Coturnix japonica: one gene and its partners. The protein of the gene in region 2 interacts with the protein of the main gene of each other region in a pairwise test. Links are inferred from orthologs where the notes say so. Each region holds a gene or a part of one and is shown on either strand. Other genes may lie near its edges.

Region 1 (6,479 bases), on a different chromosome or scaffold from region 2:
TGTTGTGAGCTTATGATGTGCTGCCTTTGAAAGCCCTTCAAGAGCTGGTGGGGCTTTTTTTAAGAGCATGGCGTAGTTCTCATGGTCCTGATATGACCTGAGCTGAGGTGATTCCTGTTTCCTTCTGTCTGAGGTACCAGCTGGGGTCACAAATGTGTTTTGTGTCGTGATTCTGGGGGAATTTCTGAGGGCCATCTTCCAGGCTCCACTTGGCTCCCTTGAGTTCCTGGGTTATGTGAGCTCCATGGTTTTTCCACCACTGTGGAGACCAGTTCCCTTACTCTTACCATGTGGGTGTTAGCCTTGGGGCTTCACTTGGCTCATCTTGCTCTTCTCGTCCCCATCTCTAATAGCATACCATGCGTTGTTTGGTGTCTGTGTTGACATTGGGAAAATCAGTGGAGCTGTTCCATGTCGTTTGGTTGGTCTCTGCACTATGGGGGTCTTGAGCACTCAAGACCACGCATTGCAGAGGCGGATTTCCATCTTGGCCACAAACTCTGCAAATGCACTGCGATCAGATCGGAGCTGCCTAAATACCGCCCTCAAGAAAAACACCCTGATGAGAATGTGTGATGCTCACAAAAGGTTCTGTTTTGTTTTGTTGCCATTGCAGTGACAGCTATATTGTGCGAGTCAAAGCTGTGGTTATGACCCGAGATGACTCCAGTGGGGGATGGCTGCCGCAAGAAGGAGGCGGCCTCAGTAGAGTTGGCGTCTGCAAGGTCACGTACCCAGAGGGCAATGGAAGAAGTGGATTTCTAATCCATGGTGAAAGGCAGAAAGACAAACTGGTAATAGAACCTAATTCAACTTTTTGTCTGTTCTTATAATGAGAATTATCCCGTATCTGATGCTATTGTGTTCTTGTGCAAGATTTAAAAAATAAAAACAAAAAAGGCATGTACAGCTAGAGCCAGATTGTACGAAGCAATCCTGTCCTCATCAAGAAAGCAGTTGAGTTGCCATCTCTCACTGTCTGGCCATCATGCTGCCACGAGCAGGTAAAAGGTGTGCAAAGAACCCCCCTCTGATTCCTTGAGAAAGGGCCTGCGTTTTTCTCACATCTAGCAGGGCTGTGTGAGAAGTGAATTGAAGTGTAAAGAATCCATGAAGCCAGTCACATTGCACTGGGTAATGCAGCGCAAGACTTTAAAAATGGCAATGAATTATTTATGCTGCGTGCTGCTCAAGGTTTGAACAAGCAGGGTGAGAATATGAAGACAAGTTGTCTCTTATGAATTGACGCACTCGGTTTCTTCTGGTAGCTGTTTATCTGAGGGGGGAAAAAAAAGACACTTTTCTTTCCCATACAAAGCAAATTAATAAAGCCTCTTCCTTATTTGCAGAGTCTGGTTTAGCTGTTGTATTTTGTTACCGCATTTTTATATATTCAATTCTTCTGAAATTCACTCTTATGAAGAGATGGGCTGGCTTAAAAATAGGCTCCCCGCACAGGCTCAGGAAGCTGAGTGCTTGGGAAAAAAGTGTATATATATCACTTTAGTTGGAAATGGCCTTGCTTTCAAAAGTTCTGGTGTTTTAAAGCTGTTTAAAGTGCAGCTCATCTTTTGTGTTACTGTTCTGCTTAGGATGCCTTTTTTTTTTTTCCCCCACGTTATTTTCAATCAATGCTTACAGTTTGGGGGGGAAACGGGGTAAGACTTAAATGCTGTTTCTGTTCTCTCTGAGCATCACCCTAGAAATGATTTCTGGCACAGAATCCTAGCTGGGCATGAGGGAGGAAAGAGAAGTGGGGGAGTGTAATAGCACCTCCTAAATCTGCCCCAGCGAAAAGTACCTACTCAGAGCCTAATAAAAAGATGAATGTGTGATGCTTATGAGAACAATCAAAGGATCTGGTGTTTATTAGTCATAATTTAGTAGGGAAGGATGTGCTCTCTACCAGCATAGCGCGAATCATGACTTGGCTTGCTTTTGGGTAGAGGAAGGCGCTAGTTGAGGCTGAAGTGGTGACATCTGTGTCCTCGGTATGGGAAAAGTGACTTTGCTCCTCTCCTTCTCTCAGGTGGTGCTAGAGTGCTTCGTGAAGAAGGACCTGGTGTACACCAAGGCGAACCCGACCTTCCACCACTGGAAAGTGGACAACAGGAAGTTTGGGCTCACTTTTCAGAGCCCTGCTGACGCTCGAGCCTTTGACAGAGGCGTGAGGAAAGCCATTGAGGACCTCATTGAAGGTACCAGGGCGTGTGTAAACTTGAAGTGTCTTCAAAGCAAGGAGATGGGAAGATGTGGGAGTTAAATACCAGTCCTTGGACTTGGAAGTCAATCTGGCGCTTCCAAGTGTGCCAGGCTAGCTCAGTTCAGAGAGCCGTGTCTCTTCATCCCTTAAGGAGAGAAGGGATTTAAGCCCAAATATTTTTTCATCCTGTCTGGCCTGGTCTGCCAGGATCTCACCCATTAGTTGTTGTGTGGTTATGACTGATTTTTTGATAGGCTGTGCTTTCGTGTTAGGGACAACAACAACAGCCCAGGCTTGCCTTTATGTGTAGCCGAATCCACTTACACTGAGTCTTTGTTAAATCAGCAGAGGATGAATTCCTGCACGAAGCTGAATTAAAACTTTGTTTTGTTTTTGCAGTAATTACTTTTGTCTGTGTCCGCTTGGCTGAATGGCTGTACTTGAAGACTTTGTTGTGTTTGGTGTTTTATTTTTTTCATCCTTTAAAAATGCATTTGAATTGCCCATGCTTTGAAGAGGTCATAAATTCTTCCTCTTCACATCTCGCTGCAATCAGTCATAATACAGCTATAACCCAATACTACTTGATTTTATTTACATGAAAATCAATTCTCTGATTTTTGAGCCATCCTGCTTTTCTTGCAGTGCCCTGTCCTTGCTTTACCATGTAAGTGGTAGCTACAGAGTGGGAATTAATCCCCCATGGCTCTTTCCTGCTTTGAGGAAGGATCTTCTCAACTACCGGTTGTTCGCTTTTTCCTGTTTATTTGTTGACCTGAACAAATCATGGCTGACCCTCTGCTTTCTTCCTGCTTGCTAAAACCGGGAAGCATTTTGATTCACAGAAGTGACATTTTATAGAAATGACACACGGCCAAGCAGCGTTCAAAGATTTTAGCTCAGTTGTATTGAGTGGTATTTTGGAGATGCACCCGGTGCATGGCAACTCCAGTTCTTTTTGATCCATTTTACAGTGGAAGTATTTAAAACCAAGTTCCTCTGCATCTCAGATACTTCAAAATCAGCAGCTCTATATTTATCACATTAACAGCACAGGCTGATCCTCATGAATGTGCTCCTACTTAACTTCCAAATAAGGCTTTCTGAATGAAAAACAATCACTGGCACGTGCACGCACAGTGTCAGACCTTGGCTTTCATTTGCTGCTTGTTTTTTGTTTGCTTCATCAAATTCAGCAGGTAATTTAAAGCAGGGCAAACCGCGTCTGAAGCTTCGCTTCATGAAATCACTGCTCTATCCAGCAGGTTATTTCGTGTTGCTTTGAAAGTCTGTTTTGTGCAGGAGTCCTGGGCAGCCTTGTAGGGAAAATCTAGATGTTTTAATTATTTTTTTTTAAAACTAATGTAGCAAACTGCCTGAATGTTTTCACGTTACATAGTGTTTTAAGTGGGCTTTCACACTTGGCTCTGCACATCTTTGCGGTTACGCAACTGAATGCAGCCAAGGCTGGTACAGTTTAGCATTATATAAAGTACGCTATTTAGGATAAATTTCCAGAATGAAGACGCTACAAAGCATTTAAATATTCTAGTTTAAGGATGGGGTGTGGCTGCAACCTAGTGGGATAAAGCATCTCAATGAGGTGGCACCCATGAGGTGAGAGGAGTTATCAGGGGCCAGAGATGTAGGATACAATATCCCACTTTTTCAGTCTTTTTTTATGGCAGTATGAATTTCAGTTCCTTTCAGATACATTGCTTATGTGGGGAAAGACGATTCTATTGATGAATTGCTGATAGCAGGGATGTTTACTGTATTTAACAACTTACAAGAAAAAAAAAAATCAAAAGCTTCCTTTTCAAAGTAAAAGTTTGTTTTTCAATAGAAAGTGATTTTTTGACCCAATTTTAGGGTTTTCTTGAGGAATAACTCATGAGTGGTTTCTTGACAGCTGAGGGTCTGGACCTAAGCACCGATCAGTGCGTAGCTTTACCGTTCTTCAGAAATGAAAGCCTTCTGCAACTGGAAATGCTGACTGCTATTTTTAGCAGAGTTAATTAGCATTGGCAGCCGTGTAGTTACATGTCAAGAAACACTTTCAGATTTTACCTTTCCAACCCAGCAAACAGCAGGTGGTTCTTCTTCCTAAAAAAGAGCTTTTCACATCTATCCAGCAAATAAAGCTGTTAGCCTCCAAGCATTCACCAGCCTGGTAATAATAACAATTGGAAAAGTTGCATGGGAGTGTCATATTTTTAAAAGCCTGCTTGTTTCTAGGGTCTACTACTTCCTCTTCAACGCTTCACAACGAGGCTGAGGTCGGTGACGATGATGTCTTCACAGTAAGTGCATCTCCCTTCTGGCCGTTCTCCTTTATGATCTTGTTTTACATGGTCAGGTTTGAAAGGTTTAAGGGTTCGTTGGTTTTTTTTTGTTGTTGTTTTATTACCTGGGTTTGGCTTCCGGCTTTAATTGCATTTGTTCAGTGGGTGTGTTTTATTTGATGGAAGCATAAACCCTGCAGAAGGTAAACTTGGGTTTCTCTTGGTCTCCCATCGCCATGTGAGAAGCACGACAGAGCAGAGCAGATGTTGTCAGGGCTGGAAGTGAGCAAATAATGTCCCTCCAGTTTAACACGCCATGGTCTGAGTGGTTCTTCTCCATACAAAAATAAAGTAGGTAGCTGCGTCTTAGGTGTGCAGTCAAGGAAATGAAGTTCTGAAATATTACCTTTATTATGGGGAACAAAAGTCAACCTTGAAGGCGTCCTGTGTGTATGTGAAGGTAGAAAGTTCATTGACACATGAGCTACCCAGCCAGCGGTGGCTGAAGGAGGAGTGAGTTCCTCATATTGAATTTATGGTGATGTCCAAAATGTGTTTTGGAGCTTTTTTGAAACAGGAGCACCTACTGTCCCTGCTGCACTCAAATGCTTTGAAAAGGAGGAGGGAAGAAAAAAAAAAAACACAACCGAAACAGTGACCATGTCAGATGAAATTGTAATCTGATCGCGGATATTCTGTGTACTGAAAAAACAACGCTCACAATGAATACTTTGTTTTATTACGCTTATTTACCTGGCTCTACTCACAACCCCCCTTCCTTACACGATAAATGCGCTCGTTGTGTGGTGCAGGTGGGGGTGGGCTGCCAGGTGGGACGTCCTCATTCAGGTCCTTTTCTTTCCTCTAGGACACCCCTCTGCACCTACGGGGGGAGCAGGGCAGGGCCGAGGGTGGGGAGAAGTACCATCCAGCCAGCCAAAAGGTGTCTTTGAGGCCCAAGTGGGCTGGCGCTGGACAGGGCTTTGTGCAGTGCTCCAACCCAGCTGCTGGCACGTCATCTGGCCAGTCCTTTTGTCATGGCTCCAGAGGCAAACAGCAGTCAGGGTTAAAAGGTGACTTCCTGTGCTCGGCAGCAAACCCATCATTAGCAGCTGCTTCCCAGCTACCTGCCAGGGGTGATTTATAGGCACAGAGCTGGGGGAGGCCCCGCTGGAGCCAGGCCAGTTTACCAGTTTGTGCTGTTTCGTCCCCAAAGCGGGGCACTACTGTACTTGTCAGGGTGAGGATGCTCCCTGAAACACACCTTGCATGGGCATCCACATGCCAGCTCTCACTGGGTGAGGCACAGAAATGCAGTGAAAAGCAGCCTGCAGAAAGAGCAAAGGAGATCTTTTTTTTTTTTTTTGGCTTTGTTGGGCTGAATCTCTCCTTTCACTGTAGTAAAGTTCTTTGAAGTTCTTGGCTTGCCGTTTATCTGGGAATCCTGGTAGATGATGGTGGAGCCTGAGATCTGCATAAGCCAGAAATAACACACCCAAGCGCGTAGGGCTTTTAGACTGGAAGAAATTAATGTGTAGTGTTTTTTGGGGGTTGGTTTGTGTTTTATTATTTTTACCCTTCTGTTTCATTCTTTCTTTACACTCCTTTTAAACATATATATGATAGTCCAGTTGGTCCTCCTTGCCCAGAAAATGTTTATTGCAGCTCTCTTGTAAACGCCACAGCAATAGATCTTTTAGGGTTTGGGTTTTCACTCTGTTTTAAAGAGAAAGCACATTTGCTCTTTTTATTTCCTAAGGTAGTTATTAAAATCCTTGCAGTCCTCCCCCTCTCCCACACATGGATGAATAAACTTGACTGCGTGCGGCAGAATTTTCAGAAGCATCTGCATGATTGAGTCATTTAAGCAGTCATTTACGCATCTCTGAAAATCCCAGCCGCTGCCTCCAGTCCTTGCTGCAAGGTCCTGCCTCTCCTTGAAGAAGATGTTGCAATCTGTTCAACAGCTGCGGTCCAAAATTGGAAGTGGC
Region 2 (6,479 bases):
CCTAACAACTGGAGGTGCGTTCTTTCACACAACAGCTCTTTACGACACAGTAAAAAGTGAGAAGGAGAAATTACAAAAAGATTTTGCTTTGGTCAGAAACTGGGCGTAAGGATAGGATGAATGGAAAACAGGGAAAGCAGAATCTGCCATCCAGGTTTGACAGGAAAGAGATCATGACTGGAGTTATTGAAATGAATACTGAAAGGTCATTGCCAACAGAGCAAGTTCAGAGGAGTGATTCAGACCCCTTTGCCCTCATAGTACATATATTACAGGATAATGTATGTCAAACAAGTACCTACCAATGCCATGCTTTTCCATCAGTGTGATGAGTTCTGCTTCCGTCAGGTAGTCAGGAGGACTGGTTTGCATTTCCAACAATTTTATTTCCCCAACTGGAAAGAGATCTCCTTTCTCACAGCAGGGAAGGCTCTCTTCTAATGGGATGCTCTGCCAAGGCATAATTTCTGTGAAGCCTGGAGGTAAACAAAATAATGAGAGCTTATCTTCACAGCTTTCAAAGGGCCAAGACACACACTTCTAATTTTAACACGGGCTACACGATGCACATCAAAGTTGAGAGGCTGTTTGCCATTCCCTGCAGACAATATTTGAAATACTGTATCAAGAGATGGGATCTCCAACGGCATAAAAACTTCTGTGGATAAATCGAGTCCTGCTGATATATGGAGAAAAAAACAAAACAAAACTGAAAAAACAACCGAACAGGGCTTTCCTCAAACAAAAGCACAGTGCCAGAAGTCTTACCAAGTGGATGGGAAGAGTCTCTTAAAAAGAAAGTGCAAATACTAAGTTGTATTAATGTAGCAGATGACTGGGACAGCCCGCTGTGAACATTTCACTGAGGGTACTATAGTCCTTTTCCTGAGGCTCAAGGGAAAAATATAAGAAAAAACCATCAGCCTTTGTGCAACATAAACCACAACAGGATCTGCAGTCTGAAAAAAGACTGGTCTTTCCACCGGTCAGTGTGGCATTAAAGCTTTGAGACCACTACATGGGAAGTACATCCTTTTCCAGCATAACGTAAATAAGGAAGCGAAGACCAAGATTCAGTCCTTGTCATCTTAATAAGCTCCAGGAAAAAAGAAGTCTTAAATTCTACTTGCCTCCAAAACTTCACTTTTATATCTATTTAATGCATGAGTGGGTAAAATAATAAACGGTGCCTAACTACTTACTCCCTGGTTAGTTTTACCTGGTGAAGTTACCACTTTCCCAACGCAGTTAAAACGTTCAGGGCCAATGCTGACAGAAATGTTGGTTTGTAGGTACTTGCAATCAGCGCTCACAGTGGCAATGAAATGCCTAGTGATGTACTCATACAGCCGCCATCCATCTCCACCTGAGGATAAACAATATCTTACTCCCACAAATCAAGTCCTGCAGCACTACATAAAATTTGCGCTAAAAGATATCAGATTTCCACAGAAACCACAGGGAAAACTGGTACCTAAGAGAAAATAGGATTGAAAAGTCCATCCAGCTTCCCCTTCAAAATTTCCTACCCATAAAATCATACTTGTTAGAATCCTGTGCTACATTAACTTCAACTTTTTCTTTTTAAATATGCTATCAATCGGGCTGCCTGACAAACTAGCACAGAACAGACAAGAGCTACACACAGTTTCCTTAATCACAACATATAGCTAGGAAATCAAATAGCAGAGAGGTTATAATACTATAAACAGAAACTTAGCTCCTAAGTATCAGTCTTGTGCTTTGCATATTTCATCCTATTGTGTACAAAGAAGTTTTACATAGCCATTCAGTAAGCTGTATGGCTACTCAAAGTCTTAACATGCTTCTTTATCAGAGAACCAATTTCCTCACAGTGTTCTAACACTATTCAGTTTGTCTGTACCTAATTCTGCTTCTGTTGCAGCTTTCATTGGAGTGATGGGTGGATGGTCACCTGCATCGTGGCCTTTCCTTGGACGATTGATGCCTTCTGATAGCAATGCTTTTACCTGGGTCAAGGAAAAGAGAGAAAACGGGTTGAAGTGGATAGCAGGTCTCTACTATCAGGTTAGAAGTTGTTTTTTTTTTTAAGATCAAATCCATAACTACAATATCTGTAAGTAAAAGCAATTACAGATACTTGTTGTTTGCAGAGACCTACAGATCAAGACATACCAGGTAAGATGTTCTAAAAACACAGACTAGAGAACCACCTGTAGAACAGTACAGGTTTTGATTTACTCACCGTTTCTGCCCAGTAAGGATTATTAGCTTGTTGTCTCAAGCATCCTTTCAAGTCAAAGTTTTCTGGATAATGGGTAGTTTCTGTTCGAGGGTAGCTAATATAACCCTGTGTATAAAGACGCTCTGCTATTTGCATGGCGTGTTGCGGACCCATTCCTGGGATGGCACAGGAGAGAACAAAATCATACAGCAATCTGTAGATGCCTTTGGTTGCTGAGTCTTAAAGCACACCTTGTCAAAACATTTAAGCTAATTACAAATTACAACTTGTCCTTTCTATAAGACTTTTGCCACCTTGATCTGACCCAGTACTTTTGACATGCTTTCTAAACTTGCTTCCCAAAAGTGATACACTGTAGGGAGACTTATTAAAATATTACATATGGGCTTGATTATTTCAGCTGAGAATCCAAAGTATTTTGCTCTAAATCAGTGTGAAAATCTAAACTTTTACACGTACCTAAAGCAGCACTGGCCACTCGTAGCATTTCTACCGTGTTCAGAGCCAGTGGTCTCTGCTTCACCTTCTCTTTTTTACTCACAGATTCTACCTAGAAAATAGCATTTTTCCAGTAAAAGTTTTGAAGTTTGGTAACTGATAAATGTAAAATGTCTATTATGACTAAAACCATGTGGTATTCCTACCAGGACCTGCTTTCGTCACATCTGTGTTTTGATATTTTTCCGTAGAAAAGTAACCGTCAGATCTGGTGGAAATCTGATGGGAAACAGCTTTACCAAATGCTGAAGGAATAGCCCCAGGGTCCCTTCACATTATGGACTAGATCAGACCTACCACTGGACATGAAGGGATGTAGCTTACTGCTACCTTCACTTCCCATTTAGCTCTGCAGCACATACATCAGTGCTACAAGGGAGTAGTGCTCAACCCAAGTAACGGTCCTAGATATAAGGATCTCAACTTTTTAAAACACCGTGTAGCCTCTGAACGTTGGTAGCTGTAAACACTTAAATCCCAACACAGTGTCAGACAAGCATTGAACAGAACAGCAGGTTAGTTGGCTATAAGGACTGTACCGTACAAAGTTAAAAACTTAACTGCAGGAATGTTGTTCTATAAGTAAATAGATTTCGATCTATGCAGTGTCCTGTGGGAAACAAGAGGTCTGCTTGGGGAGTTCTGAACTGTGCTTCTCAGCAAGTTCAGCAATGAAGACTGTTAATTCCTATCGTGAATGATGACCATTTCCAAAGTCAATATTAAGAATGGGCTTCTGTTGAGATGACCATACTAATGTAACACAAACTACAAGCAAGAATCTTTTGCCTTTTACTTATCATTTACACAAAGTTGAATGAAATAAAAAAAGATAAGGATTATATTTCTTAACCTTCTTCGCCAAAAGAAGGCTCAAAAAAACCAATATACAGTAGATGAACTATTGAGTAGTATTTCCTTTATGTGAAATAAGCTCTACCAACACCTAAGTAAATAGTTCTACCTTTGCTTCTTTTGCAGCCTTTGTTATATTTAGGAACATCTGAGCGATCTCACGATCAAATACCCGCACTCTGTCCCAACTCAAAGTGAGAGAACTTTCCTTTTCAGGGTTCACCTGATGGATCAAAAACAAACAACAACAAATTAATTCCCACCAGCACTATTACTAAAAGTGCAGAATGCACTTCAGCAATAATCCAGCAAGTAAACCTTAGTAGTAGTTGTTTTACAAGTGCTCCAAGCATGCAGCTGTACTCATTTTCCAGTGGCTTCTGAGAAAGAGTAATTTGAGTTCTGGGGCAAGGAGAATGACTGAAATTATTCTTGCAGTTAACTGAAATACTGTGCTTATTTTAAATACTTGGAATAACAAAGGCAAAATGGGCCGAAATTCAAAGTTTAACATTTTCACTTAGCAAAATTCATTAATTCTTTGCATTAAAAATAAAATGTACGTGGGCCACAATCCAAGTCCCTCCTACAAAAGTAAATATGAACTAATCAATGTGTGTGCATGAAACACCCTGAAAACAGGAACCAAATGCTTCCTAGCATGACACATATAAAGGAGATATAGCAGAAAACAGATAAGAGTAGACACTGGATTTCAACTTTTTTTTCTTTTTAAATTTTAAAATCTAAAAATAGCAACTTTTTACCATCTATCTCCTATTTATTTACACAATCCTTGTCATCACAAACAGTAAAACCATGTTGGTTAGCGCTCCAAGTTGGAACAGCAGCAAGGCTATAAAACTGCCATAAACTGCCAAAGCATTCAGAAGACTCAGTGCCAACACAGTGAACATTTTATTTGCTTCAGAATTCCAATACTCAGCAATGCCAATGCTCACTGGCAGACAAATTAATTCTTGGATTCAAATTAACACCACAGTTGGTCCAAGGACCCCAGGGAACAATAACAGGCCATTTTAAGTAGTCTTTCTGGCTCAGTCTAAGCTTAGATGGTTACCACTAAAGAATTTTTACAAGCAGCACACAATAACCGCTTGAACACAGAACCGACATCCTCAAATCTATTAAGAGAGTGGTGACACACATGTGAACTGAATGAAAATAGACGAGTAAACTGTAGGCACTGTGAATTCTTGTCAGCAGCTACAAATTCATGAATGGACAAAATGAAAGTGTTAAGTCCGTTTCTTACTATATAAGAAGGAAAACATGTTTTAATCAAACAAATAACACATAACTTACTTTAGCCTGCAGCACCCAGTAAGTCTCAGGCTTGAATGACTGGATTTTGTCGTGCCTTTCAACACAGAAACCAAGTGTTGGTGTTTGACATGGCCCAAAGGAGATGAGGGAGCTGTCTAAGTTTCCGTATTTCCCCTGAAAATACTTAGTCTGAAACCTTAAGGAAAAGATCAAATAAAGCATCAAGTAGATGAATATCCTCATTCCCATGCAAAGCAGCAACTTTCAGGAACTTTCCCAGATACGTATGAATAATCTGCCAAGTCACTCATGTATATTTAAAAAAACCAAAAACTTCACAGTATAAAATTGTTTGCTTTGGTAACTCAGTAGAATTAACCACTGCAGCTCTAAGGCACATTCTATGGACAGGGCAGTATTCCTGAACCTTTCATAAAACCATCTGCAATCTGTGCTGTTACCTTGTAAACGCGCAGCCAATTCTGAGATCCAGCTCCTGGCGGGCATCCACTGAAAGGGCTTCATTGCGATTGGGTTCTCCCAAATGATTCATGGCATTGCAGATGTCTGTGTCAGTAATAGAACTGAATTTAGCTCTATAAATCGTCCTTTCGGTGCTAGGAAGTTTGTTCATAACAGGAAGAACAGCATCAAGAACCTAAGGAGGATCAGAAGAGGATTTTGTAAGTAACTGAAAGCTGAGGGCTTAAGTCAGTTCTTTCCTCTGGAGGGAAAAAAAACAAACCAAACCCTCCCCACAAAACATCTGCTGATGTGTAACACTGCTACACAGTAACACTGTGAATATCTGATGAATATGTATCAGTTTCTACCTAGGTTGCCAGGGCACAGTTATGAAGTGGTGGTATTTAAAGAACTTAAACACTTGCTAAAATGTGCTTCTTTAAACAAGAGAGAATGAAATATGGTATTAGAAATCTTACTTCAAAACAGATGTTTTCTCCCTCCTTATCACAATCCAACCACAAGACAATGCAATCGCAGCCTCTTCCCTCCACCTGTAGGAGAAATTAGCAGAGTCATCAGCTACTCAAAAAAGAATCTCTTCAATAACTGTATAGTTTTTGTTTCTGTTTTAAAGCTCTAAAGACTGACACAATTTATTTGGTGCAAAAAGAGTTGGAATAAGAAAGCAAAAGTAAAAAGGAAACAGCATGTAATCATAGAATGGCTTATGGGAGAAGAAGGCTGTGCTTCACAGAACTGAAGGTTTGCCTACATCCTTTCTGCAGGATCTCAAAAAAATACATATATCAGCACGGATGGCTCTACAGCAGAGGAAGGCTCCTGAAGTTCTGTATGCTGTAAGCACACTGTATGCATCACCTTGGGCCCAGTCCCTTCCCCTTCCTCTGTCTTAATTCTTACATCATTAAATCAAACAAGCAAGAATAAAAAAAACAAACAAACCACAATCAAGAACCACTTTCTAGCGCATAAAGCTGCCAGGAAGTCTGAAGTTATCCACCAGAAATCAGTCTTACACCAAACACCTTCTTTCAAGAAAGCGCATCATTTTGAAAAAGGATCCAGATCTTTGCTTTCATCCCAGAGAGCTGCACGTGAGAAAAGACTGACAGAGACACCCTGA
Region 3 (7,215 bases), on a different chromosome or scaffold from region 2:
ATGGGATGCCTGCCTCGCCCACGGGGTGCAGGGAAAGAAGATAAGGCTTCAAACCAGCTTTGATGCTGCAGATTGAGGGTGTGAGAAAGTCCTGCAAGCACACTACCATGCTGATGGGCAGCCATGGAGACAGCATTGCCCACCCCAACATGAGGGGGGACCCAAAATACCCCTGTATGCATCATCTCATGCGGGCTGAGCTCTGTCTCCACCAGTGCCAGCAGCAATGCCACCAGCGGGTGGCTGTATGGGGACACAAATGCCACCAGACTCCTGGGTAGGGAGTGGGGAGCACTTTGGCACCCCATCAGGACTCAGTTTCCCCATGTTTGCTGGAGAACTGCAGCTCTGCTATGCGGTCGGTGGCACTTGGGCATCCCGGGGTCACAGTGGAGCTGCAGAGAGGGCTGTTCCTTTTGCCATCAGCATCCCTGCACTGCACTGTGCTCTTGCAGAACATGGAGCAAACCCTTGTGTTGAGTTCAGGGCAGCCCTGGAAAACATGCTTTAAAATCCTAATTGTGATCTCGGTATCCCTGTGCTCCTCTGACCCACTCAGCACCACATGATCCATGCTGCAAATCACCTGCATCACAGATAATTACAGCCCGGCTCCAATAAGTGAGCAAGAAGCCCGTAATTATCCACAGAAGTTATTTGACAATTATTATTTTATTTTAATTAAGAAAAAAGGAAGAAAGAAAGAAAGAGACACCCCAAACCCACAGGAACTCCATGGGTCTCATCGCTGTGACTCAGGAGGAGCGATGGGGCCAGACCCCAGCAGTGGGGCAGGGCTGCAGTGGGGCAGGGCTGCAGCACAGCCTGTAGTGTGGGGAATGTGGGGCGGTTTCTTCCCAGCAGCTCAGAGCAACTCAGATGCCCACTGCAGCCCTTCCACTGCCCTCTGCCCAGTGCTGGGATGCTGAAGGATGGTGGTGTGGAGACCCACAGCATCCCTTGGATGGAAGAGTTAATTGCTCTTGTAATGAGCAGCACGTGCTCTGTGTTAGGGAGAGATGAAAGAAGGAAGGAAGAGAGGAGGGCAGGGAAGGAAAGAAGGGTTTAAGTATTTTGAGGTCTGTAGGTGATGGGAGAAAAGTGCAGGTCTTCAGCACTCTGGGAGCAATGTTACTGATTTCATTCTAAGTCAGACTCAGGTCTTACTGAATACATGTGTGATTTGTTCCATTATTAACAGCTGGGTGTGCTTTACCTGCTGGTACCTGAGGTTGAAACCAGTGGGAGATGTGAGTAAATGCAAAAGGGCTGTTCTGAGTGAGCTGGGAAGGGTGGGAATGTTTCTGTAAGGTCAGGGTAGGTCTCGTGGGGCTGTTGTGGCTGCTGCAAGCCAGTTTCTCTTTGGCAAGGCACAGAGATTGCCCTGCAGCATCCTGCAGGAGCGCAGGGCTGGGGAGTGTGGGTACGCTGGGAGGGGTCTTGAGGGCATTACAGCCCTCCATCAGACATAGCACTGCATGCTGCTCCCTCAGGGGGCTGCAGGCTCTCTGAAAGCCACATCCCATGCCAGCTCCCAGCAGAGGCGAGCATTTCCCTCCTGTGGAAGACAGCAGGATGGGGTTACACACAGGCACAGTGCTGCCAACGCAGCCCATTGCCACTCCTGCAAGAGCTGTGCACAGGGATGTACACCTGCTTCAGATGCTGATGGTGAAATGGAAGCGCATGGCTAAACCACCGATCCCCAGAGAGGTGTTGGGCAATGGGTGCTGAGCCAGCACAGCCTGTTCCGGCTGTTCCACGGTTTGCTCAGCATAGGAAATTGGGAGCGGGCTGTGAAATTCCAGAGCTCAACATGAGGTGGTGCAAAGCATCCACTGCCCGTCCCCGAGCAGCGGCAAAGGAGGAGAGAGCGACAGGCAGCAGGTGAGGGAGGTGCTGGGGAGACGTGGAAAGCACGAAGCCACCGAAACACAAGAAGAAAAGGTGATGATATCAGGGGAATTCATCTGGCCCTGCTCATCACTAGAGCTGCTCTGGAAGAGGGATTCAGATGTTAAAAGGATTTTATATGTATATATATTTTTTCCACCATAAGAATAGATGTCAGAGGGCGAGTCGTGCTTTAGAGCTGTTAGTTACTCACAGAGCTCCCCAGGCCCGCGGTGTGACTGAAGCACCTTCATTTCCCATTGGTGGGATGTGGATGTTAACGCACACCGGGACCCCCCCGCTCCCAGCAACACGCTGGGTGTGAAAAGCAAGGAACCTCCTGACCCAAATGCACCGACATGGGAAGGGTGACTCCAAAACATCCAGACGTGGGGCAGCCGGGGGTGATCTCCTCATCCCTACGGAATGTGACTCACCCCGCAGCGGTCGCTGTGTTGACACGGAGCTGCCCTGCCGGCTCCACGCAGCGCCACTCGGTGCCTGCTGGCCCAGGGTCACCTCTGCCACCGGCAGCTCAGCGCGGGGCCCAGGCAGCACTCCCATAGGGAAATGGTCTGGGGGGCGAGCGGAGGGCTGCGACGGGGCCACTTGTTTTCTGCATGGATATATGCAATAAGGGCTGATGTGGCTCGGCTGCAATCAGGAAAACCGTCCTCGCTGAGCGGTGCTGGAGAGGGATTTAAGGTGAGGATGGGGCGCGCGGTGGCTCCGCTGCTGCGATCTCCCCTTCGTTTCCCAGCCCTACGGGGGCGGTCGGGCCCGGCCCGGCTCGGCCTCACCTGGAGCGGGCGGGGCGGTGGGGGGCGGCGGGGCGGGCAGCAGTTCGGTCCCGCCTCTCCCTCCCCCCCCGCCCCGCAGCTCCGCCGCCGCCCGCCCGCGCCGCCGCCGTCTCCCCCGCACCGCCGCCGCCTCCAAGATGCCCGGGCAGCGGCGGGGAGGCTGCCGCAGCCCGCTGGTAAGGGGAAGGGGGGCACCGAGATCGCGTGGGGGCACCGCAGGGAAATAAAGAGGAGGTTAGGGGGGGCTGCAGCCCCGCCCTGGGCTTTTTTTAGGGGTTCCTGTAGGATTTATGGGGCTCCGCCATCCGGTTATAGGGCGGGCGGCTCCGTGCTTCCGTGCCGGCCCTTTTCCCCCGGAACCGTCCCGCTGCCTTTTTAATGTAATGTAATGTTTTGGGGTGGGGGGGTGCCGGTTTTTGCCGCAGCCGGTCGGCGGGGTTCGGCCGTGAGATCCGCTGCCCCCCAACCCGCTGAAGTTGAAATGGAAGCGGACGGTGAAAGGAGCTCTTCTCCCGGCTCCCAAAAACGCGGCGGAGCGCGGAGAAATGCGCACCGGGCATCGCGGGCGCTGCGCTGAGCTCCGTGCGGTGCTGCCGGTCCCGAAGGGCAGCGCCGAGTTCTATAAGACGCTCCCCAACACCGTACGGTGCCCGAACCCGCTGCCCTCTTCCCTCTCCCAACCCCCCGTCCCGGAGGGTCCCGCAGCGCTGCGGGGTTTGTGCGGGGCGTGAGATGCGGGAGGCGCTGCCGGGCGGCTGCAGGTGCTCCTTGCTGCGTTCCGGGTTCGGGTTTTCCCCCCTCCGTTCTAAAGAGCGCTCCTCGCTCGGCCGCAGAACGCTCGGGGTGGGGGAGGTTCGGCCGACACGAAGGGATTTGGGCTCCTCGAGGCCGCCCATGGGAAGTACGCAGCGATGAGGAGGAAGGCTGAAGGAAGCTGCCTTGGCTTGGGCAGGTGCTGGTGTGGTTCCGGAGCTCCGAGCGTACGGCTCCGGATCCGTGTGCTGCTGTCCGTGTGCCGGCAGGCGGCATGGGATCGGCCCCGGAGCGCGTGAGATGGGTCGGTGACTTTGCGTTGGTTTGTATCGGGGTCATCTCTCCTTTTGGTGGTGGGGGGCGGCGGGGGGCGCGTTCTCCAGCACGCTGTGGGTTTCTGCACGGCAGAGGGTGGTTGGAATGTGGGGTTTTAGGGGTTGGGGGTTTCTCTTTTTGAGCCTCTCGGGTCAGCTCCTGACCCCGGAGCCGTGTCACACCTCAGGGTGACAGCTGTGCCGCCTCACCGGAGATGCCACAACCCCCAAACCAACGCTGTGCTGCACTCCGTGCCCAGCTCTTGCCAAATTTCTCCTCCCTCCAAATAATGCAGGCTACGGCCTGCCCCCAGCTTGCCTTTTCCCAAGTAGAGGGCACTGCATGGAGGCCAGCGAGAGCCTCCCTTGGCTGTCACCTCCAGCAATGTGATGGCTTTGTGCCCCGGAGGGGGGGCCCTCCATCCCCCCCACTCACAGTCCTCGTGGCAACTCTGGGATGTGCTGGGACAGGGCTGCAGTGTGGGGTGGTGGGGTTTGGGGCTTAAGAGGGGTTTCTGGTGGCCCCAATGGGCTGTGACAGCTCTCCTCCCACACTGCTGGCTGGCAGAATAAGTGCCCTTTGTGCCGCTGGACACGCTGCCCTTTCTTAGGAAATGGCCCATTGTGCAGCCTGGAGGCTCCGTCCATCCATCTGTGGGTTCCTCCCCAATCAGGCAAACCCAGCATCTGGGATGCCCCATTCCTGCCCCCTCCTTGTGCCCACATCCCTTTCCCTGCGATGCTCGTGTACGTTCAGAGCTCTTGTCCCCAGCCATGCCCCAGCATCACTGCATCGCCCGGTGCACAGCTGGGGCTGCACCAAATGGGGCTGAGCCTGGTGCATTACAGCAGTGCAGGAGATGCTTCCTGCAGGCCCCACGGCGCAGCACATCGTGGGGTGTCTGCCAGGAGCAGCCCGACTCGCCGGCTTCCCATGACGTGGCTCAGGGTTGGGAAATGAAAGGGGCTCTGTGCCTCTGCGGAATACCATTACCATTATTTATTGCTGGAATTTCTGTCTCACAGGGGAATTAATTGCTGGCTCTGGTCGTTTGGGTCTTGTTTCGCCAGCCACGCGCTGGGGGGAACGGCCTAGAAATTAAATGGCGTTTGAATATACAAACTCAGTTCTGAGTTTGGTTGACCAAAGTGGGGGGAAAAAATGAACTTCAGGCTGAGCTCTTCCTGGAGCTGAGCTGGAACGTCACAAGCATCAGCTGGCCCAGGGTCTGCGTGGGAGCAGAGGGAACATGCACATGTACATCTGTGTGTGCACGGCAGGAGCTCAGCATCCCACGGTGCAGAGAGCTTGGAGGTGGGTCAGGCACTGCTGTGGGTTACCCTGGGTGGGGACCCATTGGAGCTGATGCCTGGGTGCTGCCATCTGATGGAGTTTAGGGGTGGGAGAGCTCGTGGTGATGGTGTCCCTCCTCAGGGAAATACCCAGACTCCTGAAATCACAGAGCTATGGCAAAGCAAGCAATGGGTGCTGTGTGTTTTTAGGGTGGATGCACAGACCCAGGCCTTTACCTCTGCTCAGTACATTCCCCTGATGGCTCCCAGCTGCGCGTTGCATCACAGTACAGCTGAGGCATGCTGGGACCTGGCCATGGCTCTGGGTGCCTGCTTGCCTGGTTTGCATTCCCCCTCCCAGGAACCCGCTCTGTTTTGTGCTTGGAGCTTTTCCCTGGCTGCAGGGAAGGGATGGGGGGGAGCAAGGAAAGGTCTGTATGCCAAGCAGCCCTGGCGGCTGCCATCCTCTTTTCCTCCGTGCTGATGCCCCTGGGGTCACTAATAGCCCTGGAGCCTCTGGGAAATTTGTTTCCTTGATAAGGAAGGGCTTGTTTGTGCTCTTGTTCCATCCTTCCTCATTTCTCCTGGAGAAAACCTCCCTGAGAGGCTGCATGGAGGCAGCGAGTCCCTGAGTGTTCTCACGGGGGGTACCAGATGTAGAGGATGCTGCGGCCCCTGGCAGCCCAGGGATGAGCGGGTGGGATTACTGCTTGCCAGATGCAATGAGGGTAAGAGCTGTCCTGCTCTGTGACTTGTTTGCCCTTTTGTCCTGGATATACCACCAAGCCCCCAAAGGATGGGCAGTGGCTGAGTAATGTCCTCCTCATGGCAGCCCCTGAACCCACAGTGGGGCTGCCCCCATATGGGGCTGTGAGCTGAGCCCTGCTCTGTTCCACCGGCCCTGGGTGCCTCTTCCTGAGCTGAGACCAAAATATCTCCTACCTGCATTGTTCTCCTGTGGGGGATTACTGCTGATTGCTCCCCATTGTCCTCAGTTCCTGCAGGAAGCCCTGTTTATCTTACCCGCCTGGCCAGGAATGCAGCCCCACGCAGGCAGCACGGATATATCTAAACTTAGACAGAGCTGGACAATGGCCTTTGGACTTCCCGACTCTGTGGCATCTGTCGTGTCCTGATGTTGTGGTTTTGGGGCTGAGTTACGTGGCCACCAATTAGCAGGGCACGAGGGCAGTGGCTAATGCTCTTTAAGAGCACTCTGTCTTAAGGATGTCCCACAATGAAGGCTCCTTCAGTGCGTGCAGGGTCTGAGGGTCCTATGGAGCATGGCTGGCTCTGTGCTGTGTTGGCTTGGAGCAGCTGGATGCAAACAGCATCTGTACTGGGAGACACACAGGACCCCCGAGCTTTGCATCCAGTTCAGTAAGGGAGCTGAGCTTCCATGGGGCGGCTGCACAGCTGTGTGTCTCTGCACCCCACACATCTCCATGCAGCATCCATCCCTGGGATGGGAGCTTGCAGCCGTGCCCTCCCCTTGTCCTTGCAGAGCTGGAGCTCTCTGGCTGCTTGCAAGGCTGCAGCACAGCTACAGCTACGTTACTGCTCACCCGGGGCTGTGTGCCATGCCTCTGTACCAGCTCTGTGTGCTGGGGTCTGGGCGGGTGGATTTCTTGCTGGTGGGGTACGGTGTTTCCACCAGGCTGATCTTTAAAGTGCTGAGGGAGCCAGAGGGATTTGGCTCCCGGAGTGGCTGGGTGTGCTGGGCTGTGAAGGGGAATGGGGTGGGGGTGGGGAAGAGAGCAAAAGGCTCCAGGATGGGCAGTGGTTTGGGAAAGGTGGTGGGACTGTGGGCCATCTGTTGTGGCTACTGGGCCTGGGTGCTTGCAGGATCTGCGTGGATCCCAAATAGCACACTATGGGGCTGGCACCTGGTGCTGGGTCTGCACAGACCCCTAATAATGCATGATGAGGCTGGCACCTGGGGCTGGGCCTGTGCTGATCCCAAGTAGCACACTATGGGGCCTGCACCTGGTGTTGGTTCTGCGCAGATCCCAAATAGCACACGCTATGGGGCTGGCACCTGGTGCTGACTCATGGAGCTGCTTGATGAATAGAGATTTGTTATGGGGCTGGAAAGAATGGAAGTCACACGCAGTGGGGCCATGAGCCCCCCAACACCATCATGTTGGCCACCAGGTGTTGTG

Evidence for each region.
Region 1: the proteins of TOP3B (region 2) and SPRED2 interact in binary tests that used the Homo sapiens proteins (3 or more experiments, as listed by UniProt). The link is inferred for Coturnix japonica from reciprocal best matches to the Homo sapiens genes TOP3B and SPRED2.
Region 3: the proteins of TOP3B (region 2) and MID2 interact in binary tests that used the Homo sapiens proteins (3 or more experiments, as listed by UniProt). The two-hybrid records come from large-scale screens. The link is inferred for Coturnix japonica from reciprocal best matches to the Homo sapiens genes TOP3B and MID2.

What each region holds. Positions count from the first base shown.
Region 1 is NC_029518.1:1,452,004-1,458,482, forward strand, and holds part of SPRED2 (sprouty-related, EVH1 domain-containing protein 2), read left to right. Parts: intron 1-616; coding exon 617-794; intron 795-2,029; coding exon 2,030-2,198; intron 2,199-4,441; coding exon 4,442-4,506; intron 4,507-6,479. UniProt on the Homo sapiens protein: Negatively regulates Ras signaling pathways and downstream activation of MAP kinases. Recruits and translocates NF1 to the cell membrane, thereby enabling NF1-dependent hydrolysis of active GTP-bound Ras to inactive GDP-bound Ras.
Region 2 is NC_029530.1:347,263-353,741, reverse strand, and holds part of TOP3B (DNA topoisomerase 3-beta-1), read right to left. Parts: intron 5,887-6,479; coding exon 5,812-5,886; intron 5,526-5,811; coding exon 5,329-5,525; intron 5,064-5,328; coding exon 4,907-5,063; intron 3,804-4,906; coding exon 3,690-3,803; intron 2,778-3,689; coding exon 2,687-2,777; intron 2,383-2,686; coding exon 2,228-2,382; intron 1,992-2,227; coding exon 1,886-1,991; intron 1,367-1,885; coding exon 1,220-1,366; intron 477-1,219; coding exon 303-476; intron 1-302. UniProt on the Homo sapiens protein: Releases the supercoiling and torsional tension of DNA introduced during the DNA replication and transcription by transiently cleaving and rejoining one strand of the DNA duplex.
Region 3 is NC_029519.1:1,720,577-1,727,791, reverse strand, and holds the start of MID2 (probable E3 ubiquitin-protein ligase MID2), read left to right. Parts: upstream 1-2,384; 5' UTR 2,385-2,598; intron 2,599-2,764; exon of another isoform or gene 2,765-2,869; intron 2,870-3,472; exon of another isoform or gene 3,473-3,768; intron 3,769-7,215. UniProt on the Homo sapiens protein: E3 ubiquitin ligase that plays a role in microtubule stabilization. Mediates the 'Lys-48'-linked polyubiquitination of LRRK2 to drive its localization to microtubules and its proteasomal degradation in neurons.